Saccharomyces cerevisiae S288C: one gene and its partners. Changing the gene in region 1 together with any one later gene gives a genetic interaction. Each region holds a gene or a part of one and is shown in the gene's direction. Other genes may lie near its edges. The genes, in order: DOG1, RPL40A, FRM2 and PSP2.

Region 1 (7,141 bases):
GACTATGACTATAAATCAAAATTGGAATCTATGGGTTCTCTAATACTAAATAAATCCGTAGTGGCATTACAGCCAGGTTCCGCTAGAGAGGGAAAGAATTTTCAGACAAAAATGGCCACATATGAAAAATTACTATCATGTGATTACGGTTTTGTTCATGGATTCAGAAATTTAGGATCATCTGCAATGACAATGGCATATATTGCTATGGGGTACCTTGATAGTTATTGGGATGGTGGTTGCTATTCGTGGGACGTGTGTGCTGGATGGTGTATTTTGAAAGAAGTGGGCGGTCGTGTAGTAGGTGCCAATCCAGGTGAATGGAGTATTGATGTCGACAATAGGACATATTTGGCTGTGAGGGGAACAATTAATAACGAAAGTGACGAACAAACAAAATATATCACAGACTTTTGGAACTGTGTTGATGGCCATTTGAAATATGACTGATCGTCAGCACATTAGGCCTAATATAAAATGTACGATTAAAATGACAGTTATTTGAATCATTTTAGCTGATCACAGGGATATAGAAGGTATTGGTAGTAATAATAATAATGATAATAATAATAATGATAATAATAAATAATAAATAATAAAGCGATAGATAATGCTCATTGATTATAGATGTATAAGCAACCGTCTTGGCCAAATAGTCCAAAAACGCCAACTAGAGGCATCCATCCTTCACCTCCTCCAAACCTTTCAGCTAAATGCAAAGCTTTCTCTAAACGATCGGACTCTACTGGTTTACCTATGCTAAAACCACGAATACATAACATACCCTGCTTCTTCTCTATGTTCAAATGAGGGTTTGTTTCCGTTTCTACCATTTTTCCTTCTAATGTTGTACTTAGTGTTCCATAACATACAACGTTATCGTCCACAGATTTTCCAAAAACCCTATAGTCATAAAAATTGGTATGTGCCACAGGTCCCATGATAGCGTAGGGACAATATAACTCGAGGACTACACGGGATCCTAATTGAGCTCTTATTTTATTCAATTGTTCAGTGCTTGGGGTGATTCTTCGGTTAGTCTTTTTTAGCTGAGGAATTTTTTCAGGAAATGTCGAAATAACCTCAGCATCTTTCACATTATCTGCCAAATAAACACATCTTAATTTTTCAAGAGAATGTGGCTCGATTCTGGCAATTTTCGTAAAAATACCCTCGCTCAGTAAGTTCGTGGCCCAGGATAAGTAGATTTTATTCAGCAGCCCACTTCTAGAATTAGAATCAATTAATTTGACAACATCCTTTGTTTCGGTAAACAGTAACGTAGTTTCTTGCAACGACTCGCAATCTATCGTTGTAGGATTGATGAAAGATGCAGACCCACCATGCAGCAAAACTGCAAAAAGCTTTCCCCAAATTTGTAGGCTTGCACTAGAATTTGCCAATTTTGTCGAAATGGTTAGGTATTCATTACTATTCAATTCATTTCCCAAGGGGAACCCTTTGATGAATTCCGCTATATTACTCACCAGACAGATTTGATTAAAACTATTAGTTCCATTCCATGGTGAAGTTACGTATGCAAAAAGTTTCTTATCATCAGAGTTGTCATCTGGCGGGGTGTATTGGTACTCTGTATCCTTGGTAAAACCGTCGATAAGTTCTTTCCAAGTGATAACATCACAGTTCGCATCAAATTGTAGTGATTCGATAGGATCATCGCAAACAACAATAAGCTTGTACCAATCCTCGCTGCCGTTTAGCATCTTAAAAGACTTCCATGAGTCGATGATCAGGACATCAACATCTTCTAGTCGTTGTCTAGGAACAGCTGGCAAGAAATGAGGTATTGAACCTGTTCTTATAGAGGTCATCATGGAAGCCAAGGAGAGAGTAAAACCCTCTACGGTAGCAATAGAATTAGCTATACCGATATTTTTGAAATTCTTATTGGAAAGTTTCGGAAATATGCGCTTGGCCATACCATTAAGTTCACTCAACGAATAACTTTTTTCTCTTCCTGTAAATTTAATTATGTTTTTTCCCTTGGAAACTTCCATTATGGCATTCCAAACATCACCGAAATTGCCATTTCTTATTTTGTATTTTAAAGATAGCCCTAATCCTGTCGTCAATGGGAATCCTGTGGGCACTAAAATGCTTCGATAATATGCTGTTTCATTTTCTTTACGAACACTGGATATGCTAGATTGCTGTGACAAAGCCACCCCTGTTAAATCTCTCTTAAAATCAAGTAGAAAAGAGCTTAGCAACCAGTTGGCGCCCAGCACAATTAACAATATTGTTATTACCAGCTGTAGTAGAAAAGACCAATTCATTGCTCATCAACTTTTGCCGCTTGTTTAACTGTCTTTCTTTCTAACGAAAGAACTTTCTATAGCTTAATTGAAAAGCACTTGAAATGCTTAAAACTTAACCTATGTTGAAGCTATAAAGGTGTTGCAGAATGATTTCCATTCAATGTACTTCTCGAAGTTGCTGTCGTTTATGATACGATACATATTAGAACTTTTTCATTCTTAACGACGCGCAAAGAAAAACGAAAAGCTAATGACCAAACCAAGGGTCCTAGGATTCTCATTAACATCAATTCAAGGCAATCAGTTACAATATTTATAATAAAGTAATTCGTGCTATGTATCCTTTTGCCAAGTAACTTGCCAGAAATTCCGTTTATCTACTTCATCTTATCGGTGAAAAAATATACACTGGGCTCTTCTACACACGCCTTCTACCGCATATCCTTTAGAGTCTTGGCTTCTTGTAATTTTCAATCACGGTTATGTTCCGTGATACAGACACGTCAGAGTATTCCTATATATTCCGACATTAACCCCGACATTTCAAACAACCGTTGTTCAGCTATAGAAGGAAGCGTATATCTATGAGATTATAGGCTCTGGTACCATCTAATGATATAAATTTCATGGAACTTTTTTATTGCAAGTATTTTATTTAATTTTATTTTCATTTTTAATGATCGCGATTATTCTGTTGGAAATAACGTTCTGATGGAGATTGTTGGTTACGTTGCCACTCACGTAAGAAGTTCAAAGGATAATGGCAGAATTTTCAGCTGATCTATGTCTTTTTGACCTAGATGGTACCATAGTGAGTACAACAGTGGCCGCAGAGAAAGCATGGACCAAGTTGTGTTACGAATACGGTGTTGATCCTTCCGAGTTATTTAAGCATTCTCATGGTGCAAGAACACAAGAGGTTTTGAGAAGGTTTTTCCCTAAATTGGATGATACAGACAATAAAGGTGTTCTTGCTCTAGAAAAAGATATTGCCCATAGTTACTTGGACACAGTAAGCCTTATTCCTGGTGCAGAGAACTTACTGTTATCGTTAGATGTAGATACTGAGACTCAAAAAAAGTTACCTGAAAGGAAATGGGCTATCGTTACCTCTGGTTCTCCATATTTGGCATTTTCATGGTTCGAGACAATATTGAAAAATGTTGGAAAGCCCAAAGTTTTCATTACTGGGTTTGACGTGAAGAACGGTAAGCCTGATCCCGAGGGTTATTCAAGAGCTCGTGATTTATTGCGTCAAGATTTGCAATTAACTGGTAAACAGGATCTGAAGTATGTTGTCTTCGAAGATGCACCCGTGGGCATAAAGGCCGGCAAAGCAATGGGCGCCATTACTGTGGGTATAACATCCTCGTATGACAAGAGCGTTTTATTTGACGCAGGAGCAGATTATGTAGTCTGTGATTTGACACAGGTTTCCGTGGTTAAGAACAATGAAAACGGTATTGTCATCCAGGTAAACAACCCTTTGACAAGGGCCTGAGTAAACAAAAATGTGACAAAAGAACGAATATATATAGATGTAAAACATATGGACAAGCAAAAAGTCGAATTATGTATGTCATTTTAGGTACTGAAGAGGTAAGATTTTTTTTGAGTTTTTCTTCGAAGATGGTTGTGTGGTTATATGTTAATCTTCCTTAGCGCAAAACACTTCCATCAACTGTATTTCGTTGGAATGCTTTGTATTCAGTTTTGTATCATTATCTTTAATCACAATTGCGTCAGGATGTAAGAACTACGTAATGATCTTATTATTTCTCGTAGAGAATAGTTCCGTAGATTGAATACGCTCCGTCATTATTTTTAAATGTGGGGAAGGGGTAATTCTCGAGGATTTTTCAAAAACTTAAAATGCGCTGGCAACATCTTCTTTGGTGAAAACAAATGCTAAAAGGAGACTAAGAGTACTTTTTGTTATTCACTATAGTATTAGCCAACACGTTATCGATACATTTACTGCTATATACATAAAAAATTTACGTCAAAAAAATAAAAAAAAAAAATGCCACAATTTTCAGTAGATCTTTGTCTTTTTGACCTAGATGGGACTATTGTCAGCACAACAACTGCAGCGGAAAGTGCCTGGAAAAAATTATGCCGTCAGCATGGGGTTGATCCTGTTGAGTTATTCAAGCATTCCCATGGTGCAAGATCACAAGAAATGATGAAGAAATTTTTTCCAAAATTGGACAATACCGATAATAAAGGTGTTCTTGCGTTAGAAAAGGATATGGCAGATAATTATTTGGACACAGTAAGCCTTATCCCTGGTGCAGAGAATTTATTGTTATCGTTAGATGTAGATACTGAGACTCAAAAAAAGTTACCTGAAAGGAAATGGGCTATCGTTACCTCTGGTTCTCCATATTTGGCATTTTCATGGTTCGAGACAATATTGAAAAATGTTGGAAAGCCCAAAGTTTTCATTACTGGATTTGACGTGAAGAACGGTAAGCCTGATCCCGAGGGTTACTCAAGAGCTCGTGATTTATTGCGTCAAGATTTGCAATTAACTGGTAAACAGGATCTGAAGTATGTTGTCTTTGAAGATGCACCCGTGGGCATAAAGGCCGGCAAAGCAATGGGCGCAATTACTGTGGGTATAACATCCTCGTATGATAAGAGCGTTTTATTTGACGCAGGTGCAGATTATGTGGTCTGTGATTTGACACAGGTTTCCGTGGTTAAGAACAATGAGAACGGTATCGTTATCCAGGTAAACAACCCTTTGACGAGAGATTAAATAAATAAGGACATCGCAGAAGCACGAATATATAGATAAAATTGTATGTAAAAGCAAAAGTTGAACTGCGTATGATTTCTTATAGTGAGTATGAAATTTTTTTTTTTTTTGGTTATCTAACTTATTTTTCTTTGATACAGATCGTGTGGTTGAACAACCGCGCCGAAGGCTTGATCAGTGGGCTGATTACCAGACATCTTCTTGGTATCTACCTGAAGTCTTGAGCATCTTGATTAGCTCTGTTGCTTCATCAGTGGTAATGGATTTACCACGGGATAAGATGCCAACCAATGCGGTTGACACACCCTTGGCCATACCCTTTGCATCACCACAGACGTAGATAAATGCACCGTTGTTAATCATTTCAAATACTTGGTCTTCGTAATCCTTTAATTTATCTTGAACATAAACTTTTTTGGTGTTTGGCAACCTGGAATGGGCCACGACCATTTCGAACGAACCATCCAATTTTTTGGCGTATTCTGGCCATTCGTCCTGGTACAAGAAATCATCAGTGTTACGGGATCCATAAAACAGTATATGCTTACCTAGCGAAACGTTGTTACCGCCCTTCTTTTGTGATTCGAGGAACGCGACACGCTCTCTGATAAACCCACGGAATGGGGCAACACCGGTACCTGGACCGATCATGATAACTGGGGTGGAAGGGTTGGAAGGCAATCTGAAGTTAGAACGACGAACGTGGACGGGCAATTTGTAATTGGCGAAAAGTTTACGTGGGCCATTTAAATCGTAGTGAACAGGTAGGTTAGTTTCGGCAATGTTAACATTGTTTTGAGCCAATTGAATGTTTCTTAACAAGTTAGTCGTAACACCAACAACTGGAGGAGCATCAGGCAATTCTGGGTTAGGAAAGTTTTCCACAATGGAGGTGACATGGACGGTTTGCTTTTCAGACAGAGAAGAGGAAGAGATAGAGTAGTAACGAGGAGTCATTTGGGGAACTGATTCGACCAAGAATTGCATGGGTACGGTGTCCCATTTGGCGCCATCAGACAAATATTTCAGAGCATCTGCGATGTTGAAATATTTGGAGGTTATCTCGACGGCGAATTGGTCCTTGTCTTTCGAAAGCAGAGTCAATTTTTCCTTGACGTCAGCGTTGGGGGCGAACTGAATCAAAGATGAAAACAATTGTCTGGAGACAGGTCCTGTAATTTCCAAATAGTGTTTAATAGCAGCGCCAATAGTAGTTGGCGTTGGGAAGGGCACTTTGACGGTGGGATCCAGGGGCTTCAAGTCAAAAATGGTTTCAGGGTCCAGGTTGAATATGGATAAGAACTGTTCGACCTTTTCCAATGGGTTGGAAGGCCAAACAGCAAGATGGTCACCAGTGGAGTACTTGATGTTAGAGCCGGACAAGTCAAATTCAGAGTGGATGCAATTACGGTCATTGGAAGAGAACAGTTCGCGAGATTTCACGATGGGTGCAATATACGGTTGAGACAAATCGAAGGGACCCAATTGGATGCCGTCTGCGTTGCGGTTCAACTGATGCGAGGGCAAATAGTGAGCAGAGGGTTCACCAAGCGACATGGAGTCAGTGATTTCGTTCAACACAGTGTACTGGAATTGAGAGGTGAACTTGGCTTCCTGTTCGTCCAAATGCAGTTCGTCTTTCAAAACCTCCAGGATGGAGTCCTTCCAGGCCATGTAATCTTCGTCTGTAGTTCCTGCACCATCATCAGCTTCACCGAGCTTGCCTAGTCTGATAGCGCCCGCGGCGGAGAGATGCTTCTCGGCCTTCTTGGCGGCACCATTAAAGAATTCATAAGTAGAATTTCCCAGACCAAACATATTATACCTCAGGTTCGATAGTGCACCCGCTTCCGCATTACAAATAAAGTCTTCAAAGTTGACCGCCCCGTCGGGGAAGTCTCCTTCACCATATGTAGAGATAAAAATCGAGACTATGACGGGCACATCGTTTAGCGACTCAAAGTCGTAGTTCTCAACATCTGCGCACATCACGTTTAGGTTGAACTTGGCCACCAGCTCCTTGGAAAACTTTTTGGCGTAATCCTCGGCAGTCCCAGTCTGCGACGCATACAACACCAAGTAGTTCTTGTTGTTTTCG
Region 2 (7,180 bases), on another chromosome or scaffold:
GTAATCGAGAAATTTCTTCTTGCCTATCATTTAATTGTTTATAAATTTCCCTGTTTTTTTCGGTTACGTTTTTGAGACTCTTTTGTAAGATGGCATTATTCTCTTTTAAAATGTTAACTTGAGTAACTTCTTTCGTGATATCCTTGAATTCGTCAATAATAACTGCAGAGCATTGGTATTCCTTCTCCGATAAAGTCTGGGTTCGTTGCAGGTCATTTATCGTTTTTTCTAAACTATCGTTCTTTTGTTTAACGAATGCCAATTCTCTCTTACAGGTGGTTAACTTCGTCTCTAAAGAATTTCTTTCATGACGTAAGTTTGAAAACAAAGAAACTAGCTTCAAATGATCTTTATCGCCATTATTTGCTGCTGTGTCATCAACCTTTTCAATCAATACCGAATTTTCAACACGCAAGGATTCCGTCTGTTCAATATTAGATATCAATTCTCTTTCATAATCAGCCTTTTCCTCCATCCATTTCCTTTCATGTTTATCGAGTAAATCCTGAGCGCTATACAATGAGGATTTGGTTTTTGTTAATTCTGCTTGGCAATCAGCCGCATCCTTTTCAAGGCGGATAACCAATTCAGATAGATCTTTATTTTCCTTCATTGTGGACTGATATTGGGACATTTCTTTTTTTTTGCACAGTTGGACAATCGTACTCATTTTTTCAATTTTTTCTATCATTTTTTGGATCCTTTCTACCTCATTCCTCAACTTTTCTGATTGTTGAACGAAATGCAATGCACCTTCTTTTAGTTTCGGTTGCAAAGCTCTTATTTCACCGAGCTCTCCGCGTAAACGAGATAGATCTTCTTCCCTCGCCCATTTTTCCTTCTTCTCTAGTTCAATCTTAGCATCGTAATTTTCTTTGGTTTTTGCTAGTTCATTTTTCAATTCTATTAGCGCATTTTCATTCGATGATATAATTTCTTCATAAGCCTGTATCTGTGAGTTTGCATCCTTCAATTGAACTTGGATTTGCTCTAATTCTTTTCTCAAAGTCGGTTCTAACGTGCTTGCATCACTATTTTGATCCAAGAATTTATATTGGAATTTGGTTTTTCTTAGTTCCTTATCCAGGTTCTCTATTTCTGATGAAAGTTTTTCAATCGTTGTTTCCTTATTTGATAATTCAGTTAGTAAGGACTTCATTTTCATTTCTGTATCATCGATGGTATTTTGAGCCCATTTGAGTTGCGAATCCTTGCATGAGCGTATCGATTCTATTTCTTGTATCTTTGATTGTAAGTCGGAACGTAATCTTTCCAAATTGTTTTCCAATTCTTTGATTTTGGCTTTGTATTGGCCCTCTTTCGAGCTAAAATCCATTTTATTTTCATTATGACTGATTTCAGACTCCTTTAGTCTCATCTGCAATTCTTTTTTTTCTTTGCAGCATTGTTCGAAATCTCTAGTTAAAGATTCTTTCGTGGGTATAAAGCTGGCAGTTTCCTTTTTCAGTTTGGAAATCTCGTACTCCAAAGATTTGATTTTGATCCTAGACTGTGACAGTTCAGTTGAGGCTCTTTCTTTCTCAACATGTATGTATGATGGAACCCATGATTTTTGTTTCTCGAGTTCAGCTTTTAGGTGGTCTATTGCTTCCTCTAACATACGTTCTTTTTCCTTTGCCAAACCCTTGAAATTTTCAAAATCCTCTAAAGTTGTTTTTTTTTTGCATTGTGATTTCTTATAAATTAACAACTCTTTTCTTAAATTCTGAATAATAGCAGAGTTTTCGACTTTTGTAGATGAAAGTTCTGCCTCAAGTTCTCTAATCTTCTTTTCACGGGCTGCTTCCATAGAAGTGACAGAATTTGTGTTGGCCTTGTTTTCTTCAGTTGATGCCAGCAATTTGTAAGAATCCCGCTCTCTTAATAGGATATTTATCCGGGTTTCCATCTTCGCATTGATGTTCTCCAGTTCAATTATTGCATCTTTTGCTTCTTTAATGGTCTGGTTTTCTACCTTTTGTAAGGTCTTGTCTTGTTTTCCTTCATAATTTTCTAATTTATCAGCCAAAATCCGAATGCAATTCAAGAGTTCAACATTTTTTTCTTGTAGCTCATTCACATTACTGAATTCAACCAGTCTTTCCGTAATGATGGCTTGGGAATCATTTTCATTTACGATATTGCTCGACTCCAGTATTTTTCTTAATGATATCAGTTCATCTTGCGATAACGGCGATGCCGTTTCCTGTATCGCAGATGTATTTAAAAGAAGTAGTTTAACTTGACGGGCCAAATCCAAACGTTGTTTCACCAGAGAATGAATATTTGCTTCACAGCCATTTATCTTCTGTCTCAGTGAAGTTATTTCTCTTTCTTGCTTACGCTTAGTCAAAGAAACAGTTTCTAGTAGTTCTGTGGAACGTTTTAGTTCATGTTCCAATGATTTTGTTCTTTCCTTAAAAGAGATCAGTTCAGGGGTTTTATGCTCTAATTCTAGTATAAAATCCTCCAGTTGATTCTGTAATTGAAATTTCTGATTCCTTTCCTTTATCAATTGTCTTTTCAGCACTTTGATATCAGAAAATAGTTTACCTACTGTGGGAGAAACTGCACTCGTAGTCATTGTAGCTTCTTCTTCCTTGGTACAATCCATAACTATATTCTGTAACCTTTGACACTCATTTTTTGATTTTTCGAGTCTTAATTTTGTGTCTATAAGTTCGTCTATCACATCAGTATGTTCAGGGTTCCTGCAGGAATTATCATCATTTTTCTCTATTGCTCTCAAGGAACAATCTTTTTCCAATGATGTTAGTTGTGAGCGTAGCAAATCGTTCATATTTTTTTGTAAAGTCATTTCTTTGGAGAATTCTGCTTTTTCCACACTTGCGGTATCTTTCAAATTTTTCATTTCCAGTACTTTCTCTTCCACCGACTGGGATAATTGTTTATTTTGATTTAGTAAAAACTTATTGTACGTAAAGACAGATTCATAGTTGGATTGCATTTGGTATAGTTTTTCTTCGAGGTTCTCTACGTGCGATGATTTTGTGACTTCTTCTGTTAGCGTTTTTTTGCTAAAAGATGATAATTTTTCTTCAATTAATTTTTTACTTTGTAACATTAATTCTTTTTCCTGTACTGAGGTATCGTACTTTAACTGTAATGATATAGCATTGGACTTGCACCTTTGTAGTATATTTTCCATTTCCATCAGCTTTCTTCGAAGAAGCTTATTTTCTTTGTTCAAATCATCATTTAAAGAATCATTCCCCTGATCTCTACTCTGCCAAATGTCATATTCTTCTTTAACTCGTTTTTCGTCATTTACTTCTCTCATAGCTTCATGGCTCACATGCAATTGTTTTTTTAGTGCATCTATTTCCCGCCTATATCTGGAACGTTCTTCATTCAGCTGATCTTTCAAGCCATTCAATTCTTCTTTAGCTGTGTTCTTCTGCTCAGAAGATTCATCTAGTAGCTGCTTAAGTTTTGAAATCCTTGAATAGTACTGCGATTTGATCTCATCGACCAAAACATTGAGTTTTGTCACTTCCTCTTCAGAACGTTCAAACTTGGCTATTTTCTTGTATAACTTTCTTAAGACAGGATAGGTAACACCTTGAAGTGATTCGAATGGAACATTTAAAAACTCAGATATTTTGTCCTCCATTGCCGGTTTGCTTCCGCCCAGTGTTCTTTCGCCTTAAATTTCTTTTGGTAAACTTCCACTAGAAAAAGAAAAGCCACCAGAGAAATAAGCGCTTGCAATTTAACGCCGATATTGTTTTCTTCTTCTATTATCTTCAATTATCGATCAACTCTATCCAACAATTCTATAATATCCACTGTTCATTAACGAATATTGGTCTTTTTCCCTTATGGTGAAGTAAATTTTCCATGCAATATCCGGGTAAGCTATCGACAAGTTTATTGACTGCAATTTGAGTTTATTACATCCGTACATTACTAAGATGTATGGTTTTTCTATTTTTGTGCTCCGTGTCGATATTTCGTGGAGCAAACCAGAAAAGATGCGGAACCTCTTAGCACTCCGCCTGGACATAGGCGGAGCATATTCCTCCTATGGGATGGGTTTTGTTGTACTCTTTTCTCTCTAGACAGGACCTCCGATTGCCTCCCTGAGGGTGAGATGGTTTCCGGCCTCAGGACGGCCTTCTCCAGTTTCTAGCGAGGCATACATTCCAACCAAAGGTGTATCAAGAATATCTGAAATTAAAGGTAGTTGAATCTCTATTTGTTGTTGTTATTACCGCTTATTATCCCATAGTTGAGACGACCAAGATTCAAACATGCAAATGTATGCACCATATCCATTCTAAACATAGTTTTTCGAACGTTCAGAGCTTAAAGGGACAATTATTTTAGAAACTGAATTTTTACCCAGTGGAATAACATCGTATCTGTAAAGTCTACAAAATTTTTTATCCATCAAAAATTAAAACAAAGAAAACTGCCAAACTGAATATGAGGAACTTTCCTCTCTAGGAATGACTTAGTGAATGTACAGTGACTTGTGGAAAATATGATTAGATTTTGAGCGGGTGATGCGACTTAACAGTCTCATTGCCTAAGAAATATCCAAATTTGTGGTTCATGCTCTCCCCCAAGATATGACGATGAGAGCTCGTTTAAAATTTTGTCTTCTTCCGAACAGTTATGAAAAAACTATTACGTGTTTTTATGATATCCTTACTAACTTGTCATTTTTTTATAAAATTATTTTTTTAACAGTTTTGTCAAGACTTTGACTGGTAAGACCATCACTTTGGAAGTTGAATCTTCTGACACTATTGACAATGTCAAGTCAAAGATTCAAGACAAGGAAGGTATCCCACCTGACCAACAAAGATTGATCTTTGCTGGTAAGCAATTGGAAGACGGTAGAACCTTGTCTGACTACAACATTCAAAAAGAATCCACTTTGCACTTAGTCTTGAGATTGAGAGGTGGTATCATTGAACCATCTTTGAAAGCTTTGGCTTCCAAGTACAACTGTGACAAATCTGTTTGCCGTAAGTGTTATGCTAGATTGCCACCAAGAGCTACCAACTGTAGAAAGAGAAAGTGTGGTCACACCAACCAATTGCGTCCAAAGAAGAAGTTAAAATGATCTGTTTCGCCCAATCAATCTATACATTTATTTACTGTATACTTTAATGTACATCTTCTTTTATCATACCTACTGTTAAAATCATAATATTAATTCATACAATATACTTAAGAAAACAATATACTTTTCTTAGTTTCATAACTTTGGAATCTATAATGTTGTTTTTTTTTTTTTAAGTATATTTGTATATTATGCATATAAGTCAACGCGTAGCGGTGGTATTACGCGCAAGCTTTTGATTTCTCTTACTATTCTTGGTTGTTCATTTGTTATTTTTCTTTCCCTGATATGCTGCACAAAACTCAGTAAGAATAGTTTTCAATTTTGGTCTTTTGATTGGTTTCGATAAAAATCCGTTCATTCCTGATTCCAAACATTCTTTAATGTTGCTATCGTCAGCAAAAGCGGTTAGAGCGACAATAGGTGAGGTATAACCTAAATCGCGCCTTATCATCTTGGTAGAAAGTAAACCATCCACTTTAGGCATCTGGACATCCATGAAAATCATATTATAATTTTCGCCCTTAGATGTCAATTCTTTAACTTTGTCGAATGCTTCTTGGCCATCGCAAGCCAGTTCAATATTTTCAATGCCCTCCAAGTTCAACATTCTTTTGATAACTTCCTGATTTACATGATTATCTTCTACAACCAAAATTTTGACACTTGTTTCATTTTTATCGTCGTCTTTGACTGTGGGGATGTTTCTACTTGATGTGGCTGTACCAGTACTTTGCAAAAATGGTCTATCAAGATTGACAGAACCTAGACCTTCATGTCGAGAACGATGCTTAGAAGACAAGGAATTTTGTTCGTTAACTTCAGCACCTGTAAGACATATAGAAGGTTTAATATTTTTTTCCTGCAGTTGTTCAAGCCCTCCATTGTCGTTTTTTTCTTCTCTTCCCATGTTAGGATTTCCAACATCTTTCGTCTCATGCTTACCTTTACTTCTTACCTCCGGTAGCACGTCGTTGGTTAGGCTACTTCTATTTGTAGCTGGTGTTGCAACAGATGATGTGGATTGTCGGCTCTTGATGCTTTTAGCAACACTAAACTTGACTCTTCTGTTCTTTCTACTCTCAGGATTAAATTCGTCCTCAAAAGGAAACTCCATATCTGCAAAACTGATCTCTTTAGTTTGATTTAATGGCAAGGTAAAAGTGAATTTACTACCAACACCTACTTTCGACTCTAATTTCATCGTTCCATGCATCATATTTGCTAACTGTCTACAGATTGATAGACCTAAGCCAGTACCACCATATTGCCTGGACAATGTTTGATCACCTTGAACAAATGGATGAAATACAGATTCTTGTAAGGAAGGGTCAATACCAGGCCCAGTGTCTTCCACTTCAATAGAAATAACCCACGTTTTGGGGTTTTCGATAGGTCTTCCTAGGTTACCACCTTCTTCATCATCTGAGCCAGGTGCTTTATTGAACTGACTATTGAAGATAGCGTTATCATACGAGCTGGTAGTTGTTGATACTATAGAAGATACATCATCATTCGAAGCTTTTTCCCTGTCATTCACTTTCTTATAGATACTTTCATTCGCAACAGTATTTCTTTTTGTTATCTCTTCCTGAATTGTCGAAGTGTCTCTATTACTTCCTAGGGAAGTAGCGCTGGATTCTAAATCGACACTTTTCCTATGGTTCGATAAAGTTGGAAGATCGTATTTATCTGTAGTTTCTAAATTTTCGGTTACTTCTGTCCCTTTTTTGATATACACTTCTTTGTATTGCTTCTTCTCGCTTAATTCTTTGTCGTATTCACCCAACAGTTTCATTCTTACATCAACGGTACCATCTACAGGGGTGAACTTTAGTGCATTGGACACTAGATTCATCACAATTTGAATAATTCTGTTGGAATCACCCCAAAGAACCATTGTCCTTATCAAATTAGGAAACAATGATATTGAAAGACGAACACGCTGATCCTTTGCAACTTTACCAAATATCGATTTTATTTGTAAGGCAACATCGGTAATGCAAAAATCTCTTTTCTCCAGTTTCGTTCTTTGAAGAACGTTTTTGGAAAAAGTTAACAATTCCGTTAGAATATGAAGCAAAA
Region 3 (7,077 bases), on another chromosome or scaffold:
TACTGGCACGATCCGGGCGCTTTCAATGGTAAACATGCCATTGACAGATTTAAAGGTGTTGCTGCAACATTAGTGACTGCTGCTTTTGCCTTTGGTGGTTCAGAGTTTATTGCCATCACCACTGCAGAACAATCTAATCCAAGAAAGGCCATTCCAGGTGCGGCCAAACAAATGATCTACAGAATCTTATTCCTATTCTTGGCTACCATTATTCTACTGGGTTTCTTGGTGCCATACAATTCCGATCAATTATTGGGTTCTACCGGTGGTGGTACTAAAGCCTCGCCATATGTCATTGCTGTTGCATCCCACGGTGTCCGTGTCGTCCCACACTTCATTAACGCCGTTATTCTACTTTCCGTGCTGTCCATGGCTAACTCCTCCTTCTACTCCAGTGCTCGTTTATTTTTAACTCTATCCGAGCAAGGTTACGCTCCTAAGGTTTTCTCCTACATCGACAGAGCCGGTAGACCATTGATTGCCATGGGTGTTTCTGCATTGTTTGCCGTTATTGCCTTCTGTGCTGCATCTCCCAAGGAAGAACAAGTTTTCACTTGGTTATTGGCCATTTCTGGTTTGTCTCAGCTTTTCACATGGACTGCCATTTGTTTATCCCATCTTAGATTTAGAAGAGCCATGAAAGTCCAAGGGAGATCTCTTGGAGAATTGGGTTTCAAATCTCAAACTGGTGTTTGGGGATCTGCCTACGCTTGCATTATGATGATTTTAATTCTTATTGCCCAATTTTGGGTCGCTATCGCCCCCATTGGTGAAGGTAAGCTGGATGCACAAGCCTTTTTCGAAAACTACTTGGCTATGCCAATCTTGATTGCACTTTATGTCGGCTACAAGGTCTGGCACAAGGATTGGAAACTGTTCATCAGGGCAGACAAGATCGACCTAGATTCTCATAGACAAATCTTTGATGAAGAATTAATCAAGCAAGAAGACGAAGAATATAGGGAACGTTTGAGGAACGGACCTTATTGGAAAAGGGTCGTTGCCTTCTGGTGTTAAAAAAAAAAGCATTTACTTCTTTTATATTTATTCATTTTTGTACTTCTGTTTTGTAGTAATAGCATACGTGTAATGATAGACGATTTTCATTTTAATTCTAGTCCTTTATGAGCGAAGAAAAAAAATAAAAAGCACTAACGATTGCGTGATGGAAGTGGAGAGGAAAATATAAGTGAAATAATATGAAGTGAGAGAAAAATGATTTCCTTTTGTTCTTAATGCAACAGAAGAGGTTTGATTTCATCCGCATATGCAATTTTGCCTTAGTAGGGGTGCAACCGTTTTCGTCGTGCATCAGGAACGATCTTCTTGCCTTTTTTAAAAATCTACGTTAAGAATTTTTAATTTTGTTAAGGTGTAATTAGCATTAGAATGACTGAAGCATTCAGTTTAACCAACTTGTTCTGCGATATTTTTACTTCTGAAATAACAATGTCTGCGAGTGTTACTTGATTATTAATCAATATTTGTCAATGCTCTTCCGAATAATTTTTCAATTTGTCAGCTTTGCTCTGCGCTTTTCCTTACTGCGACAATAAATGGCAAAGGAAAAAAAAATACAGTGTCATTTGCAGATATGACACACTTTAACACCTGAGTGGGTCATCACTACTTTGTGTTTGTCTCCACCCATGTTGTGATCGAAGAGAGATATAAAGGTTGATCATTTTTGGTTTTTTAAAGCTATATACACCATCAAAATCAAGAACACCAGACCTCCAAGCCAAAGAAATGTCCCCAACTGGAAACTACTTAAACGCTATTACAAACCGTCGTACCATCTACAATTTGAAGCCCGAATTACCACAAGGTGTCGGTTTGGATGATGTAAAGAGAACTGTACACGTTATTCTCAAGAATACGCCAACAGCTTTTAACTCACAAGTGAATCGCGCTGTCATTATCGTTGGTGATACACACAAAAGGATATGGGATGCTGTTGCGAGCGCAATGCCAACTGCTGAAGCCAAGAAGAGACCAGAGTCTTGCAGAGATGAGGCTTACGGTTCAGTCATTTTCTTCACTGATGAAGGACCAACTGAAAAACTGCAAAGAGATTTTCCAGCCTTGGCAGCCGCTTTCCCAACATGCGCCGCTCATACGACCGGTGCTGTGCAAATTCAGTCTTGGACTGCCCTCGAACTATTGGGATTGGGGGCTAATTTGCAACACTATAATGACTACGTCAAATCTGCTTTGCCTCAAGATGTTCCTATTGCGTGGACTGTACAATCTCAATTGGTCTTTGGTGTTCCAACTGCCTTGCCAGAAGAAAAGACTTTTATCAATAACGTAATCAACGTTTATCACTGAACAGGAAATTCGCATATGAGGAGATCTTAATTTATCTCATGAAGTAATGATACCTCAGCGATGTGCTCGCTCGTTAGTATGCTTCATAAATTCATTATTATTTTTTTTTGGAAGTGTTTTTCGACAAAAGTTGCATTTTTACGAAGGATATGTAAACTCAAGAAGTACTAAATAAATATAAATACAATTCGAAAATTTGAAAAAAGTAGGAGACAACACTTTCCTTCCTCACGAAGAAGTTAAGCTTGGGTTTGTGACTTACTAACGTCAACGTACAATCGCGTTACAAACAAGATGCTTGCATTCTTACCTTACATTACAAGGACTTAGACGAAGAAAAAGTTCAGAAACACTGCTTACACTATTCACCAGACCCGCTCCTTCTCCTAACATCAATAACGAACAGCACTATTGATGTAAGAACGTCTTAGCTTAGTAATAAAGCTCTACCTTGTTATCGTACAATAATCCAGTATACCGCTTTTACTAATGATTATTCGAGAAAAATCGGACTGTGGCGTTTTACGTGAAAATTACGTAAAGAAAAAGATCCTGGGGTGCCTCGAGCTTTTCGGGCTAGGGTCTTGGCATTTGCACCTTGTCCAAACTACAGTATATAAGGACACCATACTGAAGGAACTGACTACATAATTTGTACTTTTTTCGTAGACTGAAGTATCCTATATCAACATATATACAAAAAAACAATCCAATATCATGTCTGCTGTTGCAACTTATTTGAAAACTTTAACTGCTCGTCGTACTATTTACGCTTTGAAACCGGAGTTACCTGGTGAAATTACTATCAACGACATCCAATCCGTCGTCCAAACCATCATTAAAGAAACACCCACCGCTTTCAACTCCCAGCCAAATCGCGCTGTTATCTTGACTGGTGAAACTCACAAAAAAGTTTGGGACGAAGTGACTAAGGCTATAGAAAGCCCTGCCGGTCAAAAGAGGCCTGCTTCAGCAAGGGATGAGGCCTTTGGTTCTGTAATCTTCTTCACCGACGACAAGGTAACTGAAAAGCTAAAGGCTGACTTCCCAGCGTACGCAGCTGCATTCCCTAGTTTCGCGGACCATACCTCTGGTGCCGCTCAAATCAACTCGTGGGTTGCCTTGGAGGCAATGGGCCTGGGTGGTCACCTACAACACTACAATGGTTACATAAAAGCTGCTTTGCCAAGCAAAATCCCTGAGTCTTGGACCGTACAAGCTCAATTAGTCTTCGGTACCCCAGCCGCACCTCCAGGTGAAAAGACCTACATCAAAAACGATGTTGAAATCTTCAATTAAGGAACAGTATATAAGTACAGAATTATAGGTATAGATTAAATGCGAACGTCAATATTATTTTCATCAGTCGTATTCTTGGAGACAGTCACCAGGCACAATGCCTCTATCTTCATTGAGGTATCTTTTATCGTCAACACTGACGTGAATAGAACCCTTTTGTGTATTACACTTTTCTACCAGACACCATCCATCGGTATGAGTGGCCAGAATTTTAACTTTTTCACCCAGCGAGATTCTTATTTCGTCTGTCAATCTAGGCTCGTAATCCTGAATAACTGTATATGTCTTCCCTAATTGGACGCTAGCCTCCCCATTATATTTGGAGTTTGGAGTAAGCGGCAATGGTTTAGAACGTGACAAATGTTGTAAATGCTGATACATTTTACTTTGTCTTCTTTTTTTCCTTTTCTTTAGTGGTTTTGATGGGGTGGGTATTATCAACTCGTGTTTCTCAGTGCTTTTATTGCAGTCATGATGATCATTGAAGTTGGTTTCCAAAGTTTGTTGTGCAGTAGTACCGTATATCACTGAATGGGGTCTTGCCGTGATTAGATCGATGTTATTGTTGCGATAAGATGTGATTTGTGAATCTGGCGTGGTATTACCCAAGTTATTCACACTGTCATTTGCATCCAGAGGCGTGTTATTATACTCCAAGATGGGCGATCGTTCGTCAGGCATTATATCTGACTCATTGAAGTAACCCTTACTTATCCGGGAGAGCATTTTCATTTGCTTCAGTTGTGGAGCCCCAGTTGGGGTCTTTAAAGAGGTCTTTGATAAGCCATAATCCTTAAAGTATGTAGAACCCCTCAAGAACCATCGAGATAGTGGAGATTCGTAACTCCATTTCTCACTCGTTTTTAACGCAGTTTTCTTTGAGGACACCGTTTTTTGAGAAGGTAAATCATTATACGAGGGCATGCTGGATTCAATATGGACAATATTCGGTGGTTTAGTATACAGGAATGCATCCACAACTTTCTCTTCCTCCATTTCGTTCACTTTGGGGTCTAACGAAATGTTTTTACCAGACCAAGCATATGGGTTCTTCACCGTTTTCTTAGGTGTCAGTATATGCTGCGGTATTATGGGTTTGGAAATTTTGTACTGTATTTTTGAAGACATGTTATCACCCGAGGTCCACTGGGTGTCGTTATACTTCTCAATATCACGATTAGAATATGAATTCTGATCCTCACACTTACTCTGCCAAAATAACCGTGAGAACCAATTAGTGCGGCGACAATATTCCTCTTCCCTTGGAATCGTAGCTGACATGGGTGGATTTGAAATGGACACCGAATTCCTTTTAAGGTAGAAATAACACAAAAGGATAAGTAATCCGAAACAGAATATTCCGATGGGAAGTCCGATTGAAAGCCCAATTGTGCTTGCTGAAGATGATTTTGGCTGAGCCGCCACATTAGAAAAGAGTAGATTAGACGGTGTAGAGCGTATTGATGTCGCTATTGTCGTTACTGTTGTTACACTCGTCGAGGAACTAGCTTGCGAAGATATGTAATTTGATGCTAAGGTAGTAGACATTGCGGCGACTGTCGTCAGCACAGTTGTTGTCGTCTGCATTATTGTTGCTACCATTTTGATTTTCAGAAACTTGATGGCTTATATCCTGCTCTTAAAGGAAAAAAGATAAAGGATGTCGTATCCAAATATTTTAAGAGCAACACATACCTTACAAAGCCACTCTTACATTGTCATTTAAATAAAACCAATCCCGAGAATTACGTTATTTGTTTCAAATTACAGACGTTTCATGTTTGTTTCATCATCGCACCAAAATGAGACAGCGCGAAAAGTGACAGTGCAATTATGCCATTCAATACGTCAAAAAGGGCATCCTGCAGAGATACAACTCTGTTTTGAAAGGGTCCACATGGTAAATATGGAAGCAAAAGAAGGATTGAGGCATCACTGACAACAAAATTGTCTTGCAGCCCAATTAATAAAAAAAAATAAAGTTATATATATAAACAAATACGTAAACAAAGGATAGAAGGCGAACTGAATCATCGTTCAGTAGCGGTTCTGGTTGCCGTTATTGTTCTGTTGAGAAAAGTTGCCAGAAAAATTGAAGGATTCGTGCTGTCCATTGGAGTTCTGGTTTCCGCCGTATTGCGGTCTTCCGTACTCATTGGATTGCTGTTGACCATTCTGTTGCGGTCTACCATACTCATTAGCCTGTTGCTGGCCCCCATAACTCGAATTTGAATTGGAGTTATTGCCCAGGTAGGAACTTGCCATGGAAGCCAAAGCTGAGAATGAACTGGAGTGGCCTTGTTGCTGCTGCTGACCCTGTTGTTGATGCTGATAGTTTTGGCCTTGTTGCTGGTATTGCTGCTGGTTGTTTTGGCCTTGTTGATTGTATTGCTGTTGGTTGGATTGAGTTTGTCCACCACCTAAGTAAGATTGAGCCATGGAGGCCAATGAGGAAAAAGCACCACCAGATTGTCCCTGTTGTTGTTGGTAACCACCGTTGCCACCTTGGTACTGTTGATTATTGTAACCTTGACTATTTTGGTTACCGTTTTGATAGGATTGGTTATAGCCCTGTTGACTATTGTTGGAGTTCTGATTATTATTGGAATGCATAAAAGAGCTTGCCATAGAAGCCAGTGCTCCAAAGGAGGAACCACCGGAGCTTTGATTTTGACCTTGCTGATTATTGTTGTTGGAATTCATGAAAGATGAAGCCAAAGACGCCAAAGCAGTAAAAGAACCTTGACCTTGACCTTGTCCTTGACCTTGACCTTGACCTTGACCTTGTCCCTGACCTTGGGAATTGTTACCTGACTTAAAGAATTGAGAAGCCAAGGCAGCCAGGCCGGAAGCACCCATACTTTGGCTCCCGCCGCCAGAACCACTTAGCATTGACATGACAGTCCCTACGTCAAACCCTCTGTTAGAAGAACCTTTATTTGATGAGTGTGTCATCACTGTGGCTAACAAAGCTAGTTTTCCTAGTTGCGTTTGGGAAGAACCCTTAGAGTCTGCCATTAAAGTGTTCATAAAAGATGAACCACCACCAGCAGCACGATCTTGCGAGGCGTCACTACCACCACTACGGTTGTCCATGACGTATCCTGCGATTTTTTGAATTAATGATTCAATAGTTGACATTTGCTCGTCATTGGGGTTCGACTGAGCTGCGGATGTCAACTTCGCAACAGCTTCTGCATGGTTTCCTTGAGAAAAATGAGACTCAGCCTCTGAGATTAACTTATCCGTATCCATTTCAGATCTTTGCTATACGTTTGTATCGCTATATGTACGTTCTTTTAATGAACTTTCTCCTTTCTTTATCGTGTAGCTTGCTTGGGTATCTTTTAATGAGTTGCGGACAGTGAGATTTTTCAGAAGGGCAATTGGCCAAGACACCAAAAACGTTTGGACGAGACAGGCATCAAAGGACAAGGTAAAAGGCGT
Region 4 (8,791 bases), on another chromosome or scaffold:
AATAAGGTTTGTATGAAGCCAACGAGATACTTTTTCTCTTATTGAAAATTCTTTTGGCCTCTGTTTTGTTAGTCTGGATACTGAAAAAAATGTTTAAGATTATTAAATCACACAGGAATGAAATTGTTATTAGAAAAATTATAATATACATTCTATATAGGGAAAAATTTCTTCTGACTTTGAAATTTAGATGCTAATAGTTTTTTTTATTATTTCTATTTTTTTTTTTTTTAAGATCAGTTGTTTGCTGCTGGCACCTCCACTGATTCGTAATTGCTAGCCGTTATTGAGTTCTCAAAATGTTCCTCCTCAGAGCTTTTGTTAATGATGAAAAATGAGCCTAAGATGAGGGTAGCACCAAATAAATAGAGCGCAGACATGGTTTTGTGCTTAAAGATTACATCACCAAACATTGCTAGGGGTATCGTTATGCTCAATCCTACGGTGACGGTTAAAGGACTCGTTAGTAACATAGCCTTTGCCCAACAAAAGTCGCTAACAAATGTGATGAGACAATTGACGAAGATTATTACCACAACTTTAGGATCTTTGGGCAGAGAGAATGGTTCCCAGCCAAAAAAGTCCAATACAATCAGTGATGGCCATAGAAAAAGTAAATTAAAGAGACCAACAAAGCCAAAAAAAATCTTCATGTTAACACGAGTCTCATCTCCGACTTCTCTCTTCAATAAAGTACTGTAGACACCGTAAAGTACAGCACCTGCAAGTGCCAACAAGTTGCCTATCAGAACTTGCACGGCATCGTTATCATCACCACTAACGTCCGCGATATGGCGTTGGTAGCGCTGATGAGAATCTGATTTGGTGACCATGATTATGCCTACAAAGGAAATGAACGACCCGAGTACTTTGGACTTGCTCAACGATTCAACATGACAAATAGCACCTATGAACAAGGTGAAAAAGGAAGAAGTAGTGGAGAGGATTGTCTGCGATGCCACCGATGTGAATGCCAGCGAGGCATTGGTCACAAGGTTAGCTGTGAACCAAAGTATGCAGAACTCAGCACTTAACTTGATTGTTTCATATAACGTTAGCCTCTTCTTTTGGTTGGCATGCGTGCCTGCTTCAAGGTTTGTAAGCAGTGGGCTAGTCATATCAACCGAGCGATTGCTATCACTACCAGTACCTTCTTCCTCCATAATTAGTTCGCGGTGAACGTTTGCACGGCCTGTGTCCTTGTAATTCACCACAACGGCCTTTGCAGTTGGAAAAAGATAAAAGATAAAGGCGGCAGTATTGGTGTACGTGATAAAGAATGGTTTTCTATACGAGTCATCCTCGAAGATCAAATTTATCAGGAAGGACGATAAAACCCACAAAATAATGACTAGACCCAACATCAGAAGACCCAAGGTCCACCTCTTATTAAAGGACGTTTGATCCTTCGACACCATGGCTCTGTTGAACTTTTATCTGAGAGAGGAAAAAAAGGAAGGAAAAAAAAGAAGAAACTTCCTTTATTTATTTGTCTTAACCACAACACACAATGCAATAAGATGCAATATAATATCAAAGCCAATATCTTATGTTGCTGATCCTGAGAAGGAATATATACAATTTATGTAGTAAAATACCTTTTCTTCTGCGAGTTGCAAGAAATAGAAAAGACTCCGATTGCGCATCGCCAGAATAAAATTTCACAACCACACTTTTTGGCTGAACTTTTTATTACCTGATTAAACAGAGAGAGAAAAGGTAGAGGTCAAAATTTTTTAAGCAAAACTAAAAAAGATGCAAAATCACGTGCTGAAAATCTAACATAAGGGTTAAGATTAGAGTTTTATAGGACTTGTTTTGTAATATTTCAAATACGAGCTAACCCTACTGATTTCAATTAGGTCTAATTTAGGGTTGAGCTGCACTGAAATTTCGGAAATTTTGGGTTATTTTAAATGAGACAGAAGAACTACAGAGATACGTTCTTCAGACTTTAAAGCTTATCTCCACAAAGAATTGGTCAAGAAATCATCCTAGAAAAACACGTTTGCTCACTCGATCTTAATCACATAGAGTGCTGGAACGGGAAGAAATGGGTATGTGCCTCGGTTTTTCTCATTAACCCCTTTTGATCCATAACGGTCCTCTTTTGTTTCCTTTTTTTTTTTTGTTTTAGTATTTTATGTTTACTATTTTCTTCTGTTTCAGTCATACGTAGGAATTATTGCATGAAAGAGGATATAATATTCATGTGGATTTTTAAGAAAATAGATCAAGTTTAAATAGCCACTAACAATTGAACAATGCTCTCTCTTGGCCTCTTTTCTTCTTTTTTATCGTTTCTCTAAAAATCAAGCTGATTAGACATGGTCTTGCAATGTTTTTGCTTTCTCTAATCAGCTTGGTTTTCCGCAAAGAAGAGAAAGTCACGGAATTGTCTACATATGTTTCTATTCAGGAACAAATAATACATCTAATAATAATGGCACTACGAAGAAAATGTCCCTAGAAGAATTTCTAGGGAACGACACTTTAGGCGAGTCAGTATGGGATGAGGAAGATATTAATTTGGATGCTATAAGCAATACTACGAATATTGACATCTTGAAACAAACCAAGGCAGGCGAACATCAACGTGATGGTCACCAACAGCACCCACACGGTGGTCATGGACCCATGAACAGATCACGTTTTTCTAATGCAGGGCCTTTTGGTGGTGGTAGCATGGGGGACTTTGCAAATCATCACCACCCGCTGCAGCATCAGCAAGGTCCTCCTTATATTGTGAAGTTTTCTGATTTACCACCGAGATTTTCCAACTTTGACATTGAAGATCTTTTTCAAGCAAAGTTTACCAAGTTTATTAAGTTCAAACTGTTTTGGGAGATAAATAAAAATCCAAGTATTTCTACTTTGAAATCGGGGTCAATCTTTGATCAAAATTTCAAACGTGACTCGAAGGTAGCATTTGTCGAGTTATATACATCCCGTGATATGGACAAAATTTTGAACTATTGGACCACTCCTTTGAAGGAAATTTACCACATTACAACAGCGCCCGCAGAATTCGAAGATTTTAAGGATTACAGCACGAAGGTGAAATTATTAACAGACCCTAAAGACGATGCTGGCAAACCATTCATTACTAAGACTCAGCGGTCAAAATCCAATCCTTTTGGAAGTGCTAAACCGGTTGATACGCAATCGAAGATTTTGGACATTGAAGAAAAAATGGAAAATTTACACGTGGAAGATACAACAACCCTGAGGGCATCATTAATCCCTAGTAGTGATTCTATGGCAACCACTGCAACAGGCAGCAAGATCACAATCTTGAAAAAGCAGACACCTACAGAGGAGGAATCACATTCTGCAACCCCAACTCCCAAACCTTTAAGTTACTCTGAAGTAGTTGAGAGATCTGTGGTCAATGAAACTTCCAAGAAAGGAACTCCATTAAGCAAGCTTGACTCACCAGCTCTTGAACTACAATCTAAGCCCGATAAATCGGACGAGTTCAAAGGTGGCGATGAACAAGGCTTTGAGAAAGGTGGCGACGATAAAGCTCAATTAGATGTCTCAAATGATAAAGATAAAGGTTCAGAAACCGATGTTGATAAACAGTTCACTTTCAAGAATGTGGAAAGGGAACATAGTATGAGCAGAACCAAATATAACGGAAACCATAATAACAATAATGGCAATTTTAGAGGGAGTAATAGATATCGTGGAGGCCCCAATGGCAGCAGTTATAAAGGTGGGCATAACAATCGTGGTAATCGCGGCGGATATCGTGGTGGCAGCTCATACAACAACAACAACAACAACACTAATGATAATAATAATAATAATAATAATAGTAGTAGTAATAATAATAACGGTTCAAGATATCATGATCGACAAAACAATGAAGAAGGGTTAACCTCGGATTCATCTTTAGATGCCTCAGGAAATAAAAAGAATGATTTCACGAACTCAACATCCAATACACAACAATATTCCATTTTCAAACCAGCAAGTGGGTTCCTTGGCCAAGGTAATAATGATTCTATAAGGAACAATGGACGCGGTAACTATAACAGCAGCGGTATGAATGGAGGTTCGAGAGGAAGAGGATTTGGCAGAGGAAGGGGATTTGGCAGAGGCGCATATAACAATCGAGGTAGTCGTGGTGGACGTGGAAGCAGCGGTAACTACTCCAACTACAATAACAGAACAACAGACATGCCTTTATGAGTCATGTACTGACCCATTAATTTTCTTTTCTCTTTTTTTTTTTTTTTTTTTTTTTTCCTCTATTTCCTTTTTTTGTTCTAGTCGGTTACGCAGTTCTGAGTAATGTAATATAGCGTTCCTTTTCCTCTCAGATTTTTTTGACCTTATTTTGTTTCCACTTTTTACTACTTATGCTGCTTTTTGTCCATTTCCCCTTCAGTTGTTTTGAATTTTTTTTTTAAAAAAAATTCGTCTTTCTGATTAATCAATTTTGATTATATATTTTCTCTTGATTAGTTCACAATTTTTATAGGCCCTTATTTCTTAAAGAAGTTTTATGAAGTTTCGTAAGTATTGGGGGGGTTGAAAATAATCTCTCACGTTATACGCAATAAAAAATTAAAATTAAGGAGAACCAATCTATAGAAACGAACCATTGAATTTAGCTATATGACTATATACCATTACGTAATTTATATAAACAGCTTAATATAGCGAAAGCAAAGTAGAACGAAATTTCGGAGAGTTCTAGATTGTATAGAGCGAATGAGCATTCAATACACACGCGAAGGCAGTAGGCGATGAAAGGAAGTTTTTTAATGTCATTAAGAAAAAGATAGGGAACTTCTATTTCCTGTCTTTCATATATATATATATATATATATATATATATATGTGCATATGTACATCGTTGAGTTGTTCATGAAATAATGAATATAATACTTCTGGATTTTTTAGTCAGTAAATTTACTGTTGAGATTCGTTATCATTTGTGATGCTTGTTTCCATCATTTGCTGTTGTTGATTAGCCAGTTTTCTTTCCTGTCTACCTTTCTTCATAACTTGCTTCAAAGCTGCACTATCTAGTGGATCTAACAATTCAAAAGAGCACAATAAACCTTCGCTGACGCTCATTACAGCCCCCCAATTATCAAATTCACCACAATAATTTGGCGCGGAAAACACCGTAACGAGACTTCTATCATTGAAAAATTCATAACCGTCTTCCACAACCATGTGAGCTCTACAAACCAAATCAAACCCAAACTTGTTCAAGAATTTGTTAATTGCCACCTTATTATAACAGTAACTTACACCACGTTCGTTATCCTCCCATTCGTTGGGTGAATCTGTGGGATCGGACCACAAAAGATCATTAATTAAGCCAAAATCTGGTACATCAGTAGGCCTAACTACATGTCTGATTTCATCCATAGAATTTAAAACTGGCGACAATCCACCATGAACACAAAAAATCTTTCCGGCTACGATAGCAGCTAATGGTAATGTATTAAAAGTATCGATGAATGTCTTCCAGATCTTGATGTTACAACGACGTTTACATTCATCATAAAATCCATAAACCCTTGTGACGTTAGCACATTCATGGTTGCCTCTCAATAAAAAGAAATTTTCAGGGTATTTTATTTTGTAACAAAACAATAGTAAAATAGTCTCCAGTGACTGTTTACCACGGTCCACATAATCACCTAGGAATAAATAGTTCGAGGATGGTGGGAACCCACATTTGGTAAAAAGCCTTAAGAGATCCCCATATTGGCCATGAACGTCGCCTACAATTTTTACAGGAGGTGATAATTCTAATAAGGAAGGTTGAGAAAGAAAGATTTCACGAGCCTTGATGCAAATCTGTAAAATTTCATTGTTCTTCAAACAAACATTTTTTGTTCTCTTAGCAGCGTAGCCCGCATCCAGTAATTTTTGGATAGTTTCATCAATATCGATAGGCTTTTTGAATTTTTTTGGAGCGTTTTTGTTTCCGGAAGATTGCATTATATCATTAAATTCCTCATTCGGATCTTTTTTGCTATCTGTTATATTATTATTTTTATCATTAACATTTTCCATTGATGCATGGATATTACTCAATTGAGATGAATTTTCAATGTCATCATCATTGCTGATGTGTTTGCTCGGGTAAATATCGCGACTTGAATGGTGATTCAATGAGGAGGTTGAATTAGAGGTAAAGTATTCACCAGAGTGATCTGTTAGCTTGGACAAGCCTGGAGAGTTTAATGGGGTGCTGTATGCGGTATTACCATCTGATCCAAACGAAGATTTCCTACTGTGTAGCGAAGATGCATGAGAATTTGACCGGGTTAATGCCTGAACGAGATAATTCTCCTGATTGTTAGAGGAGTATGATCCATTGTTAGGCTCTTCATGGGTCACATCTGATTTCCTTCTTGACACTGATCCGCTTCTTATACTGGACGGACGAGAATTCGAAGATCTAGAAAACCTTTTAGTGTGCGAGATGTCGTTGTCTTTATCATCATTGTCATCATCGGTTAAGGCGTTCTCATAATAGGTAGATGAGTATGAAGATTTATGCTTGGATACGTGTGTGCTACTATTGTTTGTTTTTAAAATGGGTGACTTGGGTTCCATTTGGATCATTGAAGGTGGTAAATCAGCAGCAGCCTTAGTATTATAACTTGATCTTCTAGAAGTAGAAGGCCTCTTAGTAGAGGATGATGAAGGAGTAGTTAACAATTCGTTTTGAGAATTTGAATGCGAGTGTGAGCTAGATGGGAAATGGTAACGATTCGTGTGAGAGCTATGTCGTTGGTGATTAACCTCAAGATTGGGCTTTGATGGAGTGGAGGGATCAGGGACGTTTGAATTAGTATTCGTAGTGGACGAAGAAGGAAGAGATCGCCTTGATCTTGAAGATTTATTTGATTTTGCAGACTTCACAGAATGGGAAGTCTCGGTTCTCGACACTTGAGGACGAGGATTTCTCGAGGAGGAATTCGAATGTGAATCCTTTTTCGAAGATTTTGAACTTGAATTACCCATTTTGAAAAGGAAGGAAAGATAAGCAGAGAGTGGTTGATTTGTTGTTTTATGACAAAGCCTCTAGGGGAAAAGAAGCGACTATAACGATGAAATAAAAATAAAACGATAAAGAAAAGTATAATCAAATGTATTCCAAAGAAGTACTTTTATATATAATCTTTATATTTAACTTGAAAGAAAAAGATTTAACATGTATTGCCAAAACAAACAAAACTAATAATGGAAGCTATTGTATTGTGCTTTTATGTTACCCACCTGCCAATGGTTCACAAGAGAAAGCTGATTAACAGAATTAGAAGATCTGCAGTAATCGTTTTCTTTTTTTTTTTTTCATTAATTTATATGCTATCCTTTTAAAAATAGACATGTCATTTCAAACGACATGTTAAAAATTATATATATGTTTATATATAGATTGATATATGTTGGAGCCGTTGGACAATTATGGGCAGCTATCTGAACATGGATCCCTGCCCTTCTCCTTGAGTTCTCCAGTAAGCGTTAGGCAAAGTGTCCGACTGCAGACGGTAGAGTCTCCACGCCTCACGGATGTGTTCGGGCAATAAGGGACTGTTGTTATATTTCTCGATGCTTACATCTAGTTTGTTGAATTGGAGGACGAGCTTATTGTACTGCTCGATGAGTTGTAGCTTCAAGTCCTGTGAATTATGGTCTGATTGCTGTAAGGATTTGGACTGTAGCAACGAGTTGCCCAGCGTAGTTTCGCGCTTGTCTACTTCTTCATCGTCGAAGTAGAAATCAGGTTCGTCTTCGGGAACGCTATCGGATTGATAATCTTGCTTGTATTGCTGGTTTTCTATGATGGAGAAAGTCAATTTTTTTAGATATTTTTTCAATTTATAGCCTATTTTGGTCCTCTTATCAAACTCTATGCACATTTGACTTGTCAACCACTTATTCTTCACAATCATGGCCAATTCGATTATCTCACCAGCGTATATTTTTCCCACCGCTTGCAGAAAAACACGAATATTTTCACTTATAGTTTGATTAGCTACTGTGCTAGCCAGTTTTTTGACCTGGGTTTTGTTTAGGGATGTTCTATGGAAAACTTCAAACCGATTAGTTTGATCTTTATCCAAGTTGGTTACCAAGAGCTTGAATTGTTCGTCCTGCGCAAGTTTTTCATTTTCATCTTCGTTGGTATTGGTGTCTTCGTAATTGCTATTTTGTGTTTGCTGTTGTAAAATGTCTTGTGGAAAGATCAGGTTTTCTGGGACTTTGTTGATAGAGTCCGGGTCTTGCTGATTTATCCTGGTTTTCTGGTATTTGTATTTTGGATATTTATTTAATTGGTTGTTGATTGATGTACCACCCGTTCGCAGGTTTTGCAATTTCCACGTAACGTAGTCCTGGTCCTCACTGATGACTTGGTCAATCATTTGTTTTGTGGAAAAATAGTTTGCTATTGTCAGTATTGGCGGATAGTTCACTTTCGGGATGGTGTCCAAAGGACCTTGAGGTTCGGTCATCGTTGCGCTGTTGAAGCTCAAACTTACTTTGTGCTCTTCATTTATATGGATAATTATCTCTATATACCTCTTCTTGATTTTTCAATTTCTTTCAACTTTTCAGTCGAAGAAATGGGAATAAGAGAAAAAATTCGGTAATGAACTGAACAGAGATGAGGTCTCGAAGAGCCAAGAAATAAAAGGTTAAGAACCAACATGGAGATAAACCAAGCGGCTGAAAAAGAACAGGAGTATGTTCACAAAGTGTATAATGAGATAGCTCCGCATTTCTCGCAAACTAGATATAAGCCATGGCC

The links.
Region 2: mutations in DOG1 (region 1) and RPL40A together harm fitness more than expected from each alone (negative genetic interaction), as found in Saccharomyces cerevisiae (one large-scale study listed by BioGRID).
Region 3: mutations in DOG1 (region 1) and FRM2 together harm fitness more than expected from each alone (negative genetic interaction), as found in Saccharomyces cerevisiae (one large-scale study listed by BioGRID).
Region 4: mutations in DOG1 (region 1) and PSP2 together harm fitness more than expected from each alone (negative genetic interaction), as found in Saccharomyces cerevisiae (one large-scale study listed by BioGRID).

Annotation. Positions count from the first base shown.
Region 1 is NC_001140.6:190,707-197,847, reverse strand, and holds DOG1 (2-deoxyglucose-6-phosphatase), read left to right. Parts: upstream 1-3,039; coding exon 3,040-3,780; downstream 3,781-7,141. Other genes in the region: inositol monophosphate 1-phosphatase INM1, read left to right, coding at 1-450; DDE1 (Dde1p), read right to left, coding at 615-2,297; DOG2 (2-deoxyglucose-6-phosphatase), read left to right, coding at 4,303-5,043; NCP1 (NADPH--hemoprotein reductase), read right to left, coding at 5,230-7,141. UniProt on the Saccharomyces cerevisiae protein: Phosphatase that is active on 2-deoxy-D-glucose 6-phosphate (2-DOG-6P), as well as on fructose-1-P.
Region 2 is NC_001141.2:64,434-71,613, forward strand, and holds RPL40A (ubiquitin-60S ribosomal protein eL40 RPL40A fusion protein), read left to right. Parts: upstream 1-4,274; coding exon 4,275-4,282; intron 4,283-4,716; coding exon 4,717-5,095; downstream 5,096-7,180. Other genes in the region: MLP2 (Mlp2p), read right to left, coding at 1-3,634; SLN1 (histidine kinase), read right to left, coding at 5,358-7,180.
Region 3 is NC_001135.5:69,958-77,034, reverse strand, and holds FRM2 (type II nitroreductase), read left to right. Parts: upstream 1-1,749; coding exon 1,750-2,331; downstream 2,332-7,077. Other genes in the region: amino acid transporter AGP1, read left to right, coding at 1-1,017; HBN1 (putative nitroreductase), read left to right, coding at 3,049-3,630; FUS1 (Fus1p), read right to left, coding at 3,694-5,232; prion domain-containing protein RNQ1, read right to left, coding at 5,668-6,885. UniProt on the Saccharomyces cerevisiae protein: Type II nitroreductase, able to reduce 4-nitroquinoline N-oxide (4-NQO) into 4-aminoquinoline-N-oxide (4-AQO) via 4-hydroxyaminoquinoline (4-HAQO), using NADH as reductant. involved in the oxidative stress response.
Region 4 is NC_001145.3:234,535-243,325, forward strand, and holds PSP2 (Psp2p), read left to right. Parts: upstream 1-2,053; coding exon 2,054-2,057; intron 2,058-2,419; coding exon 2,420-4,197; downstream 4,198-8,791. Other genes in the region: YML018C (uncharacterized protein), read right to left, coding at 237-1,418; PPZ1 (salt homeostasis regulator), read right to left, coding at 4,924-7,002; TATA-binding protein-associated factor TAF11, read right to left, coding at 7,455-8,495; TRM9 (tRNA (carboxymethyluridine(34)-5-O)-methyltransferase), read left to right, coding at 8,691-8,791. UniProt on the Saccharomyces cerevisiae protein: DNA polymerase alpha mutation suppressor. Suppressor of group II intron splicing defects of a mutation in MRS2. May play a role in mitochondrial mRNA splicing.